Neurospora crassa OR74A: one gene and its partners. The protein of the gene in region 1 interacts with the protein of each later gene in a pairwise test. Links are inferred from orthologs where the notes say so. Each region holds a gene or a part of one and is shown on either strand. Other genes may lie near its edges.

Evidence for each region.
Region 2: the proteins of NCU07382 (region 1) and NCU06149 interact in binary tests that used the Saccharomyces cerevisiae proteins (3 or more experiments, as listed by UniProt). The link is inferred for Neurospora crassa OR74A from reciprocal best matches to the Saccharomyces cerevisiae genes LSM2 and DHH1.
Region 3: the proteins of NCU07382 (region 1) and NCU06678 interact in binary tests that used the Saccharomyces cerevisiae proteins (3 or more experiments, as listed by UniProt). The link is inferred for Neurospora crassa OR74A from reciprocal best matches to the Saccharomyces cerevisiae genes LSM2 and XRN1.

What each region holds. Positions count from the first base shown.
Region 1 is NC_026501.1:6,141,006-6,145,206, reverse strand, and holds NCU07382 (U6 snRNA-associated Sm-like protein LSm2), read right to left. Parts: upstream 2,755-4,201; 5' UTR 2,673-2,754; coding exon 2,620-2,672; exon of another isoform or gene 2,564-2,619; coding exon of another isoform or gene 2,550-2,563; intron 2,179-2,549; coding exon 1,928-2,178; intron 1,839-1,927; coding exon 1,801-1,838; 3' UTR 1,429-1,800; downstream 1-1,428. Other genes in the region: NCU07381 (DNA cross-link repair protein pso2/snm1), read left to right, coding at 1-1,368; NCU07383 (transcriptional regulator Ngg1), read left to right, coding at 3,775-4,201. UniProt on the Saccharomyces cerevisiae protein: Component of LSm protein complexes, which are involved in RNA processing and may function in a chaperone-like manner. Component of the cytoplasmic LSM1-LSM7 complex which is involved in mRNA degradation by activating the decapping step.
Region 2 is NC_026507.1:1,628,007-1,632,864, reverse strand, and holds the start of NCU06149 (ATP-dependent RNA helicase dhh-1), read right to left. Parts: upstream 2,451-4,858; 5' UTR 1,742-2,450; coding exon 1,698-1,741; intron 1,644-1,697; coding exon 1-1,643. Other genes in the region: NCU06150 (hypothetical protein), read left to right, coding at 4,226-4,858. UniProt on the Saccharomyces cerevisiae protein: ATP-dependent RNA helicase involved in mRNA turnover, and more specifically in mRNA decapping by activating the decapping enzyme DCP1.
Region 3 is NC_026505.1:4,231,539-4,236,396, reverse strand, and holds the start of NCU06678 (exonuclease Kem1), read left to right. Parts: upstream 1-1,424; 5' UTR 1,425-1,989; coding exon 1,990-1,994; intron 1,995-2,079; coding exon 2,080-2,173; intron 2,174-2,241; coding exon 2,242-2,548; intron 2,549-2,607; coding exon 2,608-4,858. UniProt on the Saccharomyces cerevisiae protein: Multifunctional protein that exhibits several independent functions at different levels of the cellular processes. 5'-3' exonuclease component of the nonsense-mediated mRNA decay (NMD) which is a highly conserved mRNA degradation pathway, an RNA surveillance system whose role is to identify and rid cells of mRNA with premature termination codons and thus prevents accumulation of potentially harmful truncated proteins.

The DNA of each region.
Region 1 (4,201 bases):
GGGGAGACGGTGCCGGTGCCCGAGACGGGCGGTGCTGTGATGGTCACCATGATTGAGGCGAATCATTGTCCGGGGAGTTCGCTATTTTTATTCGAGAAGAAAGTTGGCAAGGAGGGAAGGATACAGAGGATTTTGCACTGTGGCGACTTCAGGGCGTGTCCAGCGCATGTGGAACATCCGTTATTGAAGCCGGAGACGCTCGATAAGGTGACGGGGAAGACAAAACAACAGAAGATTGACGTTTGTTACCTTGACACGACGTATTTAAATCCGCGGTATTCGTTCCCACCCCAGGAGGATGTGATACAGGCGTGTGCCGAGGTGTGCGCAAAACTTGATAGGGGGTTGAAGGAGGGGAATGAAGCCGAATGGGATCGGCTATTGAGGATGAGAGAAAGTGGCGGTAATGCAAAGGAGGGGCAAGATGTCAGTCAGTTCTTTGGGTACAACAGTAAGAGGAAGGGGGATGGCAGCATCACATCAAACCCAACACCGCCCGAGGAGGAACAACAAGCAGAAACCAAACCCCCTCCCAACGCCTTCACCGCTCTCACCTCTTCTTCTACTATTCGCAAAAACCGCCTCCTCGTGGTCTGCGGCACCTACTCCATCGGTAAAGAGCGCATCTGCGTCGCCATCGCGCAAGCCCTCCGCTCCAAAATCTTCGCTTCCCCTTCCAAGATCCGCATCACCAAACAGCTCGACGACCCCGAGCTCTCCAGCCTGATGACCGCGGACCCCCGTGAGGCTCAAGTGCACATGCAAGCTCTCGGCGAGATCCGCGCCGATACGCTGGCTGAGTACCTCGAGTTGCACCGGTCCAACGGGTTCAGCCGCATTGTCGGGTTTCGTCCCTCGGGGTGGAGTTACCGGCCCGGTTCCGGGTCCAATAACAACCAGAACAGCCATGAAATACAGTTACCGCCCGACATCGACACAGGACCTCCCGCCTCCGTCCCCGTCACCGCCAGTCTCCCTCCATCGTCGCTGCCAACCACGCACCTCCTCCACGGTAACCGGTTCCGCCCCCGCTTCTTTGCACAGAACGTGGTCCCCCAGCGCGGGAGCGGGAGGGAGGCCATGTGCTTTGGGGTTCCCTATAGCGAGCACAGCTCGTTCAGGGAGCTGGCGCTCTTTTTGATGGCGTTGAGGGTGGAGAAGGTGGTGCCGACGGTGAATGTGGGGAGCGAGGCGAGTAGAGCGAGAATGAAGGGGTGGATTGATCGGTGGGTGGGGGAAAGGAGGAGAGGGGGGTTGGTGAGGATTTTGCATGAGCAGGAAGGGGGAAAGGGAGAGAAAGGGGAAGATACCAAAGGGCAGAAGTTTTGGGATGGGAAGGATGCGAGTGGTGGGGAGGTTTATTGGTAATCTGTGCGGTGCTCTGTATGGTGGTGTGCGGAAGGGTTGGGAAAGGGGGGAGTGCGGTCGGTTGGTTGTTTGTAAATCTGTCTGAAACTCTATTCGGCCGTTGTGTTTGCGTTTCCACTCACACATGGAGAACACCGCCCTTGCCTGATTCTCGGTTCAACTCAGCCGTGTTCATTCCTCATCTGGTATCCGCCTATGTGACACTCTTGACGCCCTGCCTGCTTGTCTTCTCCCGTACCACCCCATCCTGGTCTCTGGCCCTCTTCGTTTGCCCTTGATTCTCGAGCGCGTTTCCTTCCAGCTTCGTCAATCGCATCTGTTGATAGACAACGTTGGTAGCGACAATAACGGGTCGAAAGTTAGGGTGTGCGTTCCGTGAAGTGGTTCTAGAGCGAATGATCCCCTCCTCCTCCTCCTCCTCTCCTCTCACATTCAACCCTGCTTAGCTTTCGTAGCCTGGTTGGCCGCCTCTGCAACACGGCGTTAGTATGCATCCAACCCATTCAACCCTTCCATGCAGCTACCACGAGCCCCTTCTCACTCAACACACAAAACATACCTCTTCTCGTGGCATCCTCTAACAACTGGATATCCACGCTCTCCTGGGGCAGGTGAACGTAACGAACCACAGACCCGCGGATAAACACGTTCTTGACCGCGCTCAGGTGCGGATACTTGAGCTCTTCAACGACTTGGATGTTGTCGAGCTTGATGTTGAGGAACTGGTCGACGCTCTTGAGCACGCCCCGGATCTGGATGTCGTTCTTGAGCTCGACCGTGACCTCGTGGTCGATGAGGGTCTTGAAGAAGCTTTTTGCGTGAAGTGTCAGTCTGTATTTGTTTGACTAGATGTTGCGGTGGGTGCTTGAAAGGGAAGAAGGGGGGGTGGGAAGATGTGGTGTGGTGTCGATGCGCTGGTCCGTATTCATAAGGGAATGCAGGGATTGATGAGCAATGTTGGTAAACAGTGTGGTATGTTGAAAAGTCATCATGTGTCAACTCAGGCAGGGCTTGGTCCAGGTATGTGAAGCAACTCCTGATATGCGTCGCAGACCTTGTCATGCTCGGCTTCAAAGCAGCATCACAACATAGCGTAGACTTGACCCCACTAGGGAATAATGACTTGATGTAATGAACGAACACGAATGCTCCTCTTGGGTTGGATGAGAAAATTAGATTACCTGAAGAACAACATGTTGTTGGTATCAGTGTTGCTATGTTACCAAATGAGTGACGGGAAAAGAAATCAACCTTGATGATGTTAAGATATGTTGGACAACAGAACTAAAGTGACGGGCATTCATCAATTGGTCGAGGTGCCCGTTGCTTGCTGGAACTGTAAACGCCAAGGAGACGACTGCCCAACTCGGTGGAGGACTTGGAAAGAGGTGAGCCGCGCTTTGGGAGTCCGAGCGTCCATCAAGTGCAGTGGGAGCACAGACCATTTGTTCTCTATCCGCCAAGACCTAGGTGCCCGTATCGTGCTACCACAGTAGATAAGTACCTACCTACTGGCAGCTGACAGCCCGGGGAGGTGGGCAGGTATGGCACAGTTAGTTTGTACACTACAGAGCTGCCCTGCCTCCTGAAAGTGCCCATGTTGAAGTCGAACCCAAGTGCCGTCCAACTGACCTCTACCTCTGCAGGAAAGAAGTGCCCGACAACCAAAGTGTGGCACAGGTTCAGTTGTCTGTTGAGTAACGGCAACGCGAGGAATTCACAGGCGCGACACGGGCACATCAGTCACACAAACTCAAACACCCGACGGAAATAGCATTGCGAGGCCCAGGGCAAGGGCAACTCTGGAACCCCAATTCCACTTGCAACTTGAAGTGTACCTCTCCTACGTAACTTAGTCACCTAACTTAGTTACGTACACTTACAACGCAGAACGCTACAGAGCAAGTGGAAGTTGAAAGAGGCCCGCCCAGCGCTCTGGCCCAGTCCCATCATTGCCTGATTCCCACACGATTCTTCACTCCCCGCGAGCGACAGTCAGGGTCGACAGGGATGTGCCATCAGTTATTGTGCCGTCATTGGATTGTGTATCGACCAGCATCGACCGCCTTTCAGCGAGCGAGGCAGACCGCGACGAGCATCCCTCGAGCACGCCGTGGACGCGGCAGCCTTCCCGGGTCCTGATACCCCTTATTAGACAGACAGACGCCATATCGACATCGCCGTTACCTACCGAGGACCCAGAGCAGCCAGCCCCCCCAAGACCCCCCGAGTCCGGATCCTCTTCCACGGAACTCCCTAAAATCCCAACAGATACCTGGAACCCCCGACAGCACACGGGCCGGAAGTCGCCGCACCAGGATCACCCGTAGTAAGGTGCGCAGCAGCCAGCGGCCAGCAAAAAAAAAAGCCAGGAGCGCGCGCGGGGTTGCCGATTACGCAGCAACAATGCCGCCGCCCTCGGGCCAAAAAGGCAGCCAGAAGGGCACGGGGAAGAAGGGTGGAGCGGGTGTCATGCGCCAGCACCAGCACCCGCGCAGTCGCAACACCACGCCCAGCGCCGGCTCTCCCCAGGTCGCCAGCCTGCCCCCCATTGAGCAGCACGAGACGGCTACCCTGGACGTGCGCTTCGACCTCTTCCGCAACATCACGTACGACGACCTTGTCGACCACGTCGCCAACAACACCGCATCGCCCGACTCCAAGAGCCTCGATGGCCTCCTGTCCCGCCTGTCACGTCTTAGCGAGGTCATTGACAAGCGGGGCACCAACTGTGACAAAGGCATGCGTCTGCTCGCCCAGTCCCGCCGCCTCCGCGAGAGCGAGCTGGCTGCCGAGCGCGGCCGCGAGGAGGAACGCCGCCAGAAGGAAGCCG
Region 2 (4,858 bases), on another chromosome or scaffold:
GAGGCTGGCCCTGACCTTGGGTACGAGGACCGCGCTGACCACCGTAGTTCTGGTTCTGACGGCCTCCCTGGCCCTGGAAACCACGTCCACGACCTCCGCGGCTGCTACCGGGCTGCCCGCGATTGTTCTGGTAGTTGGTGGGTCTGGGTTGGTTGTTGGAAGCACCTGTGCCATTTTGGCGACCGTTTTGCCCTTGCCAATCACCCTGGGCCTGGGGGATGGGTCTGTGAGGCTGTTGAGCTTGAGGATTGAAGCCAAGTTGTTGGTTGCCCTGTTGAGGCGGGAGCTGGTTTGACGGCTGTGTCTGTGTTGAGAAATGCTGTTGCTGTTGAGACTGTTGAGGCCTTTGCGATTGCTGCAATTGCTGTTGCGGCTGCTGGGCAATAGGCTTGAAGGTCGAGATGGGCCGGGGAATCGATTCAGGGTTCTCGTACACGTAGAGGCTCTTGTCAATGGTCTGAGGAATGGGCTGGATCTCTGTACCAAGATCGCGCTCAATGTTGTAAAGGTTGAATCTGTCATCCCAATTGATCAAGTTAATAGCAAGACCAAGGTGACCATAACGACCAGAACGACCAATACGGTGGAGGTACGTCTCGGCGTTCTTGGGGAAATCGAAGTTGATGACAACGTTCACTGCCTGAATGTCAATACCGCGGGTGAGGAGATCCGAGCAGACCAGGTTGCGGCAAACACCGTTGCGGAAGTCGTGGAAGACACGGTTTCTCGCCTGCTGAGCCATTTTGGCATGACTGTAGAAGCACGAGTATCCAAGCTCAGTGATCTTTTTGGCAAGCAGTTCGACGCGGTTGGTAGAGTTGCAGAAAATGATGGACTGGTTGATCTGCAGCTTGGAAAACAGAGTGTTGAGGCAGTGAACCTTTTGCTTCTCCTCAACAAAGGCATAGTATTGAGTGATACCGCGGAGCGTAAGCTCGTCCATGAGGTTGATCTCGTACGGGCTAGTCATGTTCTTGTCCGAGAAATCCTTGACCGAAAGAGGGAAAGTGGCGGAGAACAGCATGACCTGACGATCCTTGGGGTGGAACTGCAGGAGCTGCTCAATGACGGGGGTAAACTCTTGCGACAGGAGCTTATCAGCCTCGTCCATAATGAACATTGGGCACTCGCTGAGATCGGCCACCTGCTTGCCAGCTAGATCGAGGATACGACCTGGTGTTCCGACGACGATGTGTACGGGGTCCTGCAGACGCACAATGTCGTCCCGCAGGCCAGTTCCGCCGGTTGTCACCATGACGTTGATGCCGAGATGCTTGCCGAGCGTCTTGCAGACTTGGGATGTCTGCATGGCAAGCTCACGGGTGGGAACGAGAATAAGGCATTGGATCTTGGAGACCTTAGGGTTGATCTTGTTGAGGGCGGGAATGACGAAAGCGGCGGTCTTGCCGGTGCCGTTCTTTGCGCGTGCGAGGATGTCTCGGCCGGTGAGGGCAACGGGGATCGCTTCTTCCTGAATCGGGGACGGTTTCTCGAAGCCAGCCTCGAAAATGCCCATCAAGAGATCCCTGTCGTGTATGAAGTCTTCCCAATCCAGACCCCTCGTGTTTGTAACATCCTCGGTCTGTTGTCTTGTGTCCCTGGCAGGTAGGTTAAGTCCCTTTTTCCAGTCTTCCGGGCCTGAGCTATCAAAAACATGTCAGCTGGGTTTGGGACAGAAGGGAAGGCGGTCAACCTACCTCAGACTAGTAGCTTTCAACTGATCCGCTAGTTGGTCGGACATTTTGCCGGATGGTCGTTGTTCGGTTGTGGAACCCGTGGTCGAGGCTCAGATGTTGCAGAAAGGAGAGCGTAGAGCGCGATGGCTTCGTCTCCGGGTGTGTGTAGCGAAATGGACAAGTGGTTGACAAGGGGAGAGGAGCACTAGTTGTGGGTGGGAATCCCCTCTTTCTCTTTTGTTTTTCGGTCTGTTGACGGTGAGCAGAGCCAGACAGATGTAGCTTTGTAGGCGGAGGCGGAGGCCTGTCGCGAGCGGTCGTGGGGCAAAGATGAGACGGCGGTGGATGGGGATGGGGTCGCGAGGAGGCTCGTTGCGTGTGGGAGCACCAAGGACGTTCTCAGTCGTTTGATTTTGCCTGTATGCCTCGAAGTCAAGCGACGTCTTTTGTGGGAGAGGCTGCGAGGAATCCGATTCGGGGTCGACGGCTGGGACTTGATTGGCCTGTGAAAACTGAAGGGCGAATCAAAGCGACGTGTGCGATGCCGTTGGGAGAGTGGGACGAGATGGTGCTTTGCAGCGAGCTCAAAGTGTTTCTGTTCTGTTGTGATTGAAGTGTTGTCGTTGTTGTGGTGGTGGTGGTGGTCGTCGTCTGAAAGCGGGGCAGAAAGGCAGAGAGTTTGAGGGAAACTTCCGAAGCTTGGACGAGGCGAGGCGGTGCGGAAGTCGTGAATGATTCAGTGCTGTTTAGGACTGGGCGAGTGAGTGGACGAAGGAGCCGGAGCGTCCAGGTCCCAGGTCCAGTCTCCTCTCCTCGTCAAAACTGTTCACTCCACTGCCGAAAGGGTCTCGGATCACGTGTTCCCTTGATGTTCCCTGCCGAACCCTGCCTGCGCCTTCCAGTCCAGTTGTGTATCGCACAATCAGCAGCGTGTCCACCACGACGGGACCGAACGGGACCTCCATTTCCATACCTGCGTAGTGTAGTGTATCTCGTCTCATAATGGAAGGCGGCGGGGGGCGCCACTCATAGGCCACAAGTCGGCCGCGGCATCGCCTTCCAGTCCCACTTCAGGGGCAATTCGGTTTATACCTCTACTAGTGTACCTACACTATGACCGCTGCCTGTGCCTCCTCTCTGTTGGCCTGGGTAGTGTACACTGCATAGTAGTTCTGGTGGTGGCCCAGTGTACCTAGCGTACCTCTACATTGTATATATCGACGTCATCCGGCGCACTGGTGGGATATCGCGGGCGACATCCCGTCCATGGACGTCCTTCTGGGCTTTGTTACGTAGGTAGCCGAAATTGGACAAAGTAATGATCAAAGTTGACAAAAAGTTTGACAATTGGAAAACAGTTCGATATTTTCCAGCACGGTCAGATCCATGAATGTGTACATCATGCCCGTCTCTTCACTGCCGTCTTGCGTGCCCAGTGTCAAGTATGTACATAGGTACCTACAGAGAGGTACATTCGACTAAGTCTAGTAGTACCGCTTTTTTCAATTCGATTTGGATACCCCTTAGCTCCCCCTTTAGCGGGCTCGGCGGGCCACCTTACCCGATCTAGGTTTGTAAGCGAGCGCCCTACAGCTGACAGCCTCCTGCACACACCTTGTGCCAGGTGTAGCCACGTTCACATACCCACTCTGAGCGCCCAGAGGCTACAGTGGGCTTGCAGATGGCTTGCAGTTGGGCGCCAGCTTTACTGTAAAAAGGCTAGCCCCCCCTTAAGGGTACAGTCCCGGACCAAAAATAAAACACGTTTCTTTTTTACCCGCAAAAAGGGCCAAAACTCAACTCTATCACTCCCTAGTTTTCATGCCAACTACCTTTCAAAAGCAGATGCACTAAAGGAGGACAGAGTTAAATAGTTATACTCCCCAGATATATAAATGAAATTGACTTCATTGGTTTAGTAGTGTAATCACAATTGTTCAAATGAGAGTTTGAAAAGGATTTTTGGTTATAGTGCATTTAGAGTGCATTATAGTGGATAGAATCTGAGATACTTTTCGGAAAGTGACTTTAGTACTTACGCTTTTGCCCCCCGTTCGAGTGTATCTTTTCGGACAACTTGCATTAGTATCTCCTCTTAAAGTTATCTCTATTTAGAACGTGGAGTGAGTTTTGCAATAAACCACGTTGAGAAATTAAGAGTAGAAGAAGTTGAGTTTTGGCCCTTTTTGCGGGTAAAAAAGAAACGTTCGTTTTTTTTGGCGCCCCACTGTACCTATCCAAATCGACTTGGTTTTAGCGGTAATCGGGAACTGCCCCACACTCAGAGGTGCTGCTGGCAGGCAATGTCAAATGAATGTCTGACACTGAGCTCCCAGCATATCCAGGGCAGCAGCATATCGACATCATCCATTCCAGGTTTCCCACCCTCCACCAAACACCGTTCTTGTATGCCATCCCCATCGCCCATCTCCTCCCGACTCCCACTCATAATCGACTACTAAGTCTAGGCACACTGAATTGTCGCGCCTGGAGCCATGATTCTCTATCAGCCTCAGTGAGCTCCAACATGACTACTTGAAGCCGTCACCATGTTTTCCTTGAAATTTGCCGCCATCAGCTGCCCCGGCAATGCCGCCCGCGCGGCCCATGGCTCGCTCACGCTAGTCCGGGCAGCAGCAACACCATCAAGTCGGCCGTGTGGTCCTTTGGCCGTCGATCCCGTCCTCTTTGACCTTCGTCCGATCGCTCCGACCGCCCGAGGAGCTTTCCAAACCCGCCTCTTCGCTTCGGTACATCACGGCGCAGCAGACGCGGAGCCGCCGACAGACCACCCCGCATTATATTGGCCCGCGTCCAAAAACCCTACACCTTACGAGATACTCGGGCAAAGCAAAAATGATCCGTATAACAAGAAGCGCTTCCACGAGCTGGTGAAGCTTTACCACCCGGACCGACAACCCCATACAGGGCTTCCCGACACTTCTCACCCAACCAAGCTTGAGCGCTACCGTCTCGTTGTCGCCGCCAACGATATTCTAAGCAATCCGCAAAAGCGCCGCATGTACGATCTCTACGATCTTGGTTGGAGCAACCATCCGGATCTGCCGGATCTGCGCAACGACGACGTCCCTTCGAATCACAGTGCCTGGCGCCGCCGTCCCGGTAATGCGAGCATGAACGCTACTTGGGAGGATTGGGAACAATGGCGTAACGAGCAAGAC
Region 3 (4,858 bases), on another chromosome or scaffold:
GAACTACGGATTCTAGATTGATATTTTGTTAATACTTCCTTAAACCCGATGAAGAATATTAAAGAGGTTAGAAATTGGACTTTAAAAGATAGTTGTGGCTAGTATAGAATGCCTTCGCCTGGGTTCGAATTCCCAATAGAATACCTCGATAAGTTTTATCTCTCTAGGGAGGAATAGTTCCAGAGGATGTTCGTTGCTAATGGTTAGTATAAGTAAAGCTTGTAATTATATGCGTATTGGGCTATAGTACCCCTCGATCTTCCTTAGGTTATTTTTTTTTTCTTTTTTTTTTTTTTCTTTTTTTATATTATTATCCTTAGGTTATTATTTACAACTAGTTTCATGTGTTGTCTTTATTTAGAGCCGGAATTAAAGTTTTTTATTTTTTTTTCGTTATACTTTCTTATTGTTATATTTATATTAAGGAATATATATTTTATACTATTATATCGAAATAGTCCTAAAGGAGGCGTATTTGGGGTAGCCTGAGGTGAATATTCTTATTGGCTACCTATACGGTACCCGTACTCTAATTTTCTTATATACCTAGGTTAGAGTTTTAATTTACAATTATTAGAAAGGGAATAATAGGAATTACTTCTATAAAGAATACCCGCCACTTAGGTAGCTTAGATAAGTAATTTAATATAGCGCTTTCTCCCCTACTACCTACCTCTATCAATATAAGTGTAATATTGATTGAAAATTGCTGTGAAATAATTGTAAGGCTTTTGTTACTTAGAATAGATATTAATTGTTGAATAAATAAATATAATTAAACAATTATTATATTAATAAGAATATTAGCTTGCAATTAGCAATTTAAGTGAGTATATTTATTATGTTGTATATTTTGTAGTTCGGGTCGTATTGTTGTGGTACAGTTCGCTGTTGTCGTACTTTTGTGCGCTGTTGAACGGTTAATTCCGTTTTGTATACAATACCGCGTTAATAGTCGTTGTACTATTAATTAAAACTACGTATTGTAAAATAAAACCAACTTCAATACAACAATATTCAATTATCTAGTAGATTACAGTAAGAAACAATATTGTGTAAGGATGTTGTAGCCCACAACCCCTGCTCAAGCGTTTTATACTATAAAGGCCTGCTACGCCCACTTTTGTCAGACCCCCCATTCCCTCCAGGGCAGTTCCGTTCCGCTCGTCGAGGGCGGAGGCTCGCTTGAGGTTCGTTACCTTGAGGTTCAGTAGTAGCTGGTGCGGGGAGAGAGCTGACAGTGACAGCCGGGAGCCTGATGAGGTGGCGGAGCGCTCACTACTGGCCTGGCCTGGCCGGGCCGAGCGCTAGTACCTAGCTCTAGAGGTACCTCTACCTCTACGACCGACGCTCACGCCGCCCCCAGGCACACAGTCAACCCGCGTGGGGCAACGGAGGCCAACTAGAAACTGCAGTGTGTCACAGCCTGAACACCTAGCCAGCCCGGAGCCCAGGACCCGACACCTTCTCCGTCCCATCCACACCTCTGACGGACCTTCCACTTTTGTTTCTCTTGCGGTTCCATCTCGTAGACATCACCCACTTCTTCCTTTACCTCCGTCTATCTCGAACATAGGCCGCCAACGTCCTAGGCCACTCCTCGGATTCTCAACCTTTCCGCTTTTCTTAGCACTATAGTAGCTTCTTTTCCCGATTGGCGCTGTCGGTTGCTCCAAGGACACTCCTCTTCTTCCCTTCCATAGACAGCATCTTCAGTCTTGGACCTTGCTGCTTCGTCCCCCCTCGGTTTATTGCACCATTGCGATCCCTGGAGGCTTCGCTATCTAGAAACCCGGCCATTATTATTCAGTGCCGGCATTTGAACGACCAGCTTGACGCCTCTCCTTCGCCCCCTGACAGCAGTAACTAAGTAGACTCCCCGTCTGCGACATCTCCTGCGACCGCTCAGCGCGCCCCAATTTCAGACCTCCTTCGCAAACTTCTAGTAGTGTACACATCTAGTCCGGCACCACAGGCCACTTAGTCAACATGGGGTATATGACTCCCACATCAAAGCTCCTCCCTCGCCGTATACGCGCGCGTTGTTCAGGCGTGTGGCTAATACCCCCTCTTGTCCAGTGTTCCCAAGTTCTTCAGATGGCTCTCGGAGCGGTATCCCGCCATTTCTCAGCTCATCGCCGAGAACCGTATCCCCGAGTTCGACTGCCTTTATGTTCGCTGCTCCCTCCCGAGGCCTGATGGCTGTCTTGCGTTACTTGCCTAGCTAACCGGTTTGCTCAGTTGGACATGAACGGTATCATCCACAACTGTACCCATAAGGACACGAGCGATGTACAATTTCGCATGACAGAGGAGGAGATGTTCATTGCTATATTCAACTACATCGAACATCTCTTCGGGAAAATCAAGCCCAAAAAGCTTTTCTTTATGGCTATAGATGGCGTTGCCCCTCGCGCAAAGATGAACCAACAGCGTGCTCGTCGTTTTCGTACCGCGCTGGACAATGAGAAGGCTAGAGATAAGGCGATTCGTGAGGGCAAGGAATTGCCCAAAGAAGAACCTTTCGACAGTAACTGCATCACACCTGGTATGTCTGGCGCTGGTGCCCGCTTGAATGTTTTCCCCGGAGGCTAACTAGCTGCATAGGAACCGAATTCATGGCCAAGCTCTCGCAACAGCTGAGATATTTCATCCATAAAAAGGTCTCGGAAGACAGGGACTGGCAACAGCCCGAGATTGTCTTGTCTGGACACGAGGTCCCTGGTGAGGGTGAGCACAAGATCATGGAGTACATCCGCAATGCGCGCGCTCAACTCGACTATGACGCGAACGTCCGTCACTGTTTGTATGGCCTCGACGCCGATCTGATCATGCTTGGCCTCCTCAGCCATGACCCTCACTTCTGCCTTCTGCGCGAGGAAGTTACCTTTGGCCGCGGCCCGTCTAAGCATAAGGCAAAGGGACTGGAGGAGCAAAACTTCTATTTGATGCATCTCTGCATAGTCCGCGAGTACCTGGAGCTGGAGTTCCAGGATCTCAAGAAACCTGGAGCCATGTCTTTTCCATTCGATATGGAAAAAGTTATTGACGACTTCATTCTTATGGCATTCTTTGTCGGAAACGACTTCCTTCCCAACCTTCCGCGGCTTCACATCAATGAAGGCGCTCTTTCGCTCATGTTTAGGATCTACAAAGAAATTCTTCCGCGCGGCGACGGATATATCAACGAGGGCGGTAAGGTCAACCTCCAGAGACTCGGCCTGCTTCTGGAAGAACTCGGCAAGGAGGAGTATCGCTTTTTCGAACATGAACATGAGGATCAAAGCTGGCTTCGGGCCAAGAAGATGCTTGAAGATAACGAGGCAGAGACAGCAAAGGCAAAGACCAAGGGCAAGCTCATCGTCACCACGAACCAGAAGAATCTCTGGAAGCAGAAGATCAGGAAATTCCTTATGAATAGGAGCACTAATACGCTTGACCTCGGTACCGAGTTGAAGGCCGAGGACCGCAAGTTTGTCCAAGACTTGGCTGATACTGCTCACATTCCTTGGGCAACTAAGGAAGATGACGAGGGACACCGCCACCTAATCCTGTCCTTCCCCGAGAGAGACGACGAGTCGGAAGAGGACGAGGAAGCCCAGTCAGCCGTTCTCCGTATCATCAAGAAGTACGACAACGCCCAAGTCCTGGATTTAACTGCGGCCGACTCGAAGGCTGCCATGGAGGTTAAATACCAGCAAAAGTTCCAAGAGTGGAAAGACAAGTACTATGCCGAGAAGTTTGAGGATTGGACCCCAGAGAACAAGGAGGACGAACTCCGCAAGTTGACGGAGAATTACGTCCAGGGTCTTCAATGGGTGCTCTACTACTACTACCGTGGTATTGCTTCTTGGCCCTGGTTCTATCGCTACCACTACGCTCCCCTGATTTCCGATGTCATGAAAGGCCTGAAAGCCGACCTTAATTTCAAGATGGGTCAGCCGTTCAAGCCATACGAGCAGCTGATGGGTGTCTTGCCAGACCGCAGCAAAAAGATCGTGCCGACAGCATATTGGGATCTTATGACAAACCCCAATTCTCCCATCATCGACTTCTACCCAAGAGACTTTGAGCTTGACATGAATGGCAAGAAGATGGATTGGGAAGCCGTTGTCAAGATTCCCTTCATTGACGAGAAGCGGCTGCTTGCAGCAATGGGCCCCAAGAACGAACTTCTCTCGGACGTTGAGAAGTCGAGGAACGATTTTGGCGTCGCACTCAAGTTCACTTATTCCGATTCGGTAGACTTTGAATACCCTTCCTCCCTTGTCGGAATCTTCCCGCCCATTCCCCACTGCCACTGTATCGAGAACATTTTCGATCTTCCGCCCGTGGAGGGACTGGAATATCGTGTTGGCTTGACCGACGGTGCTCTGCTGAACGAATCGGCGCTGGCCGGATTCCCTTCCCTCGCTACACTGCCATACACCGCCTCCCTTGGGTACCATGGCGTCAACGTGTTCCAGTCGGAGAGTCGCAATCAGAGCATGGTCGTCAATATCCTGGATACGGAGAAGCGCACCAACGTCGAGGAAGCGAAGCGCAAGCTTGGAAAGCGCTGCTTCGTTGGCTACCCTTTCCTTCAGGAGGCTAAAATCGTTGGCGTGTCAGACGAACTTTTTGATTATCATTTGGCAGAAGACGGTAGCGGACAGGTGGTATCGCGCAATCATTCCACACGGGACATCGAGCAATGGGGCAAGACGGCTCACAGAATCGAGAACTTCTACAGCAAACGGCTAGGTATACTGATAGGTCAGGTGGAGTCGTTGGTCCACGTCCACATGCTCAAGGGCCTGATCAAAACTGATGAAGGCGCTACTATCAAGGAGTACGGCCCGATTCCCGGCATGGAGAC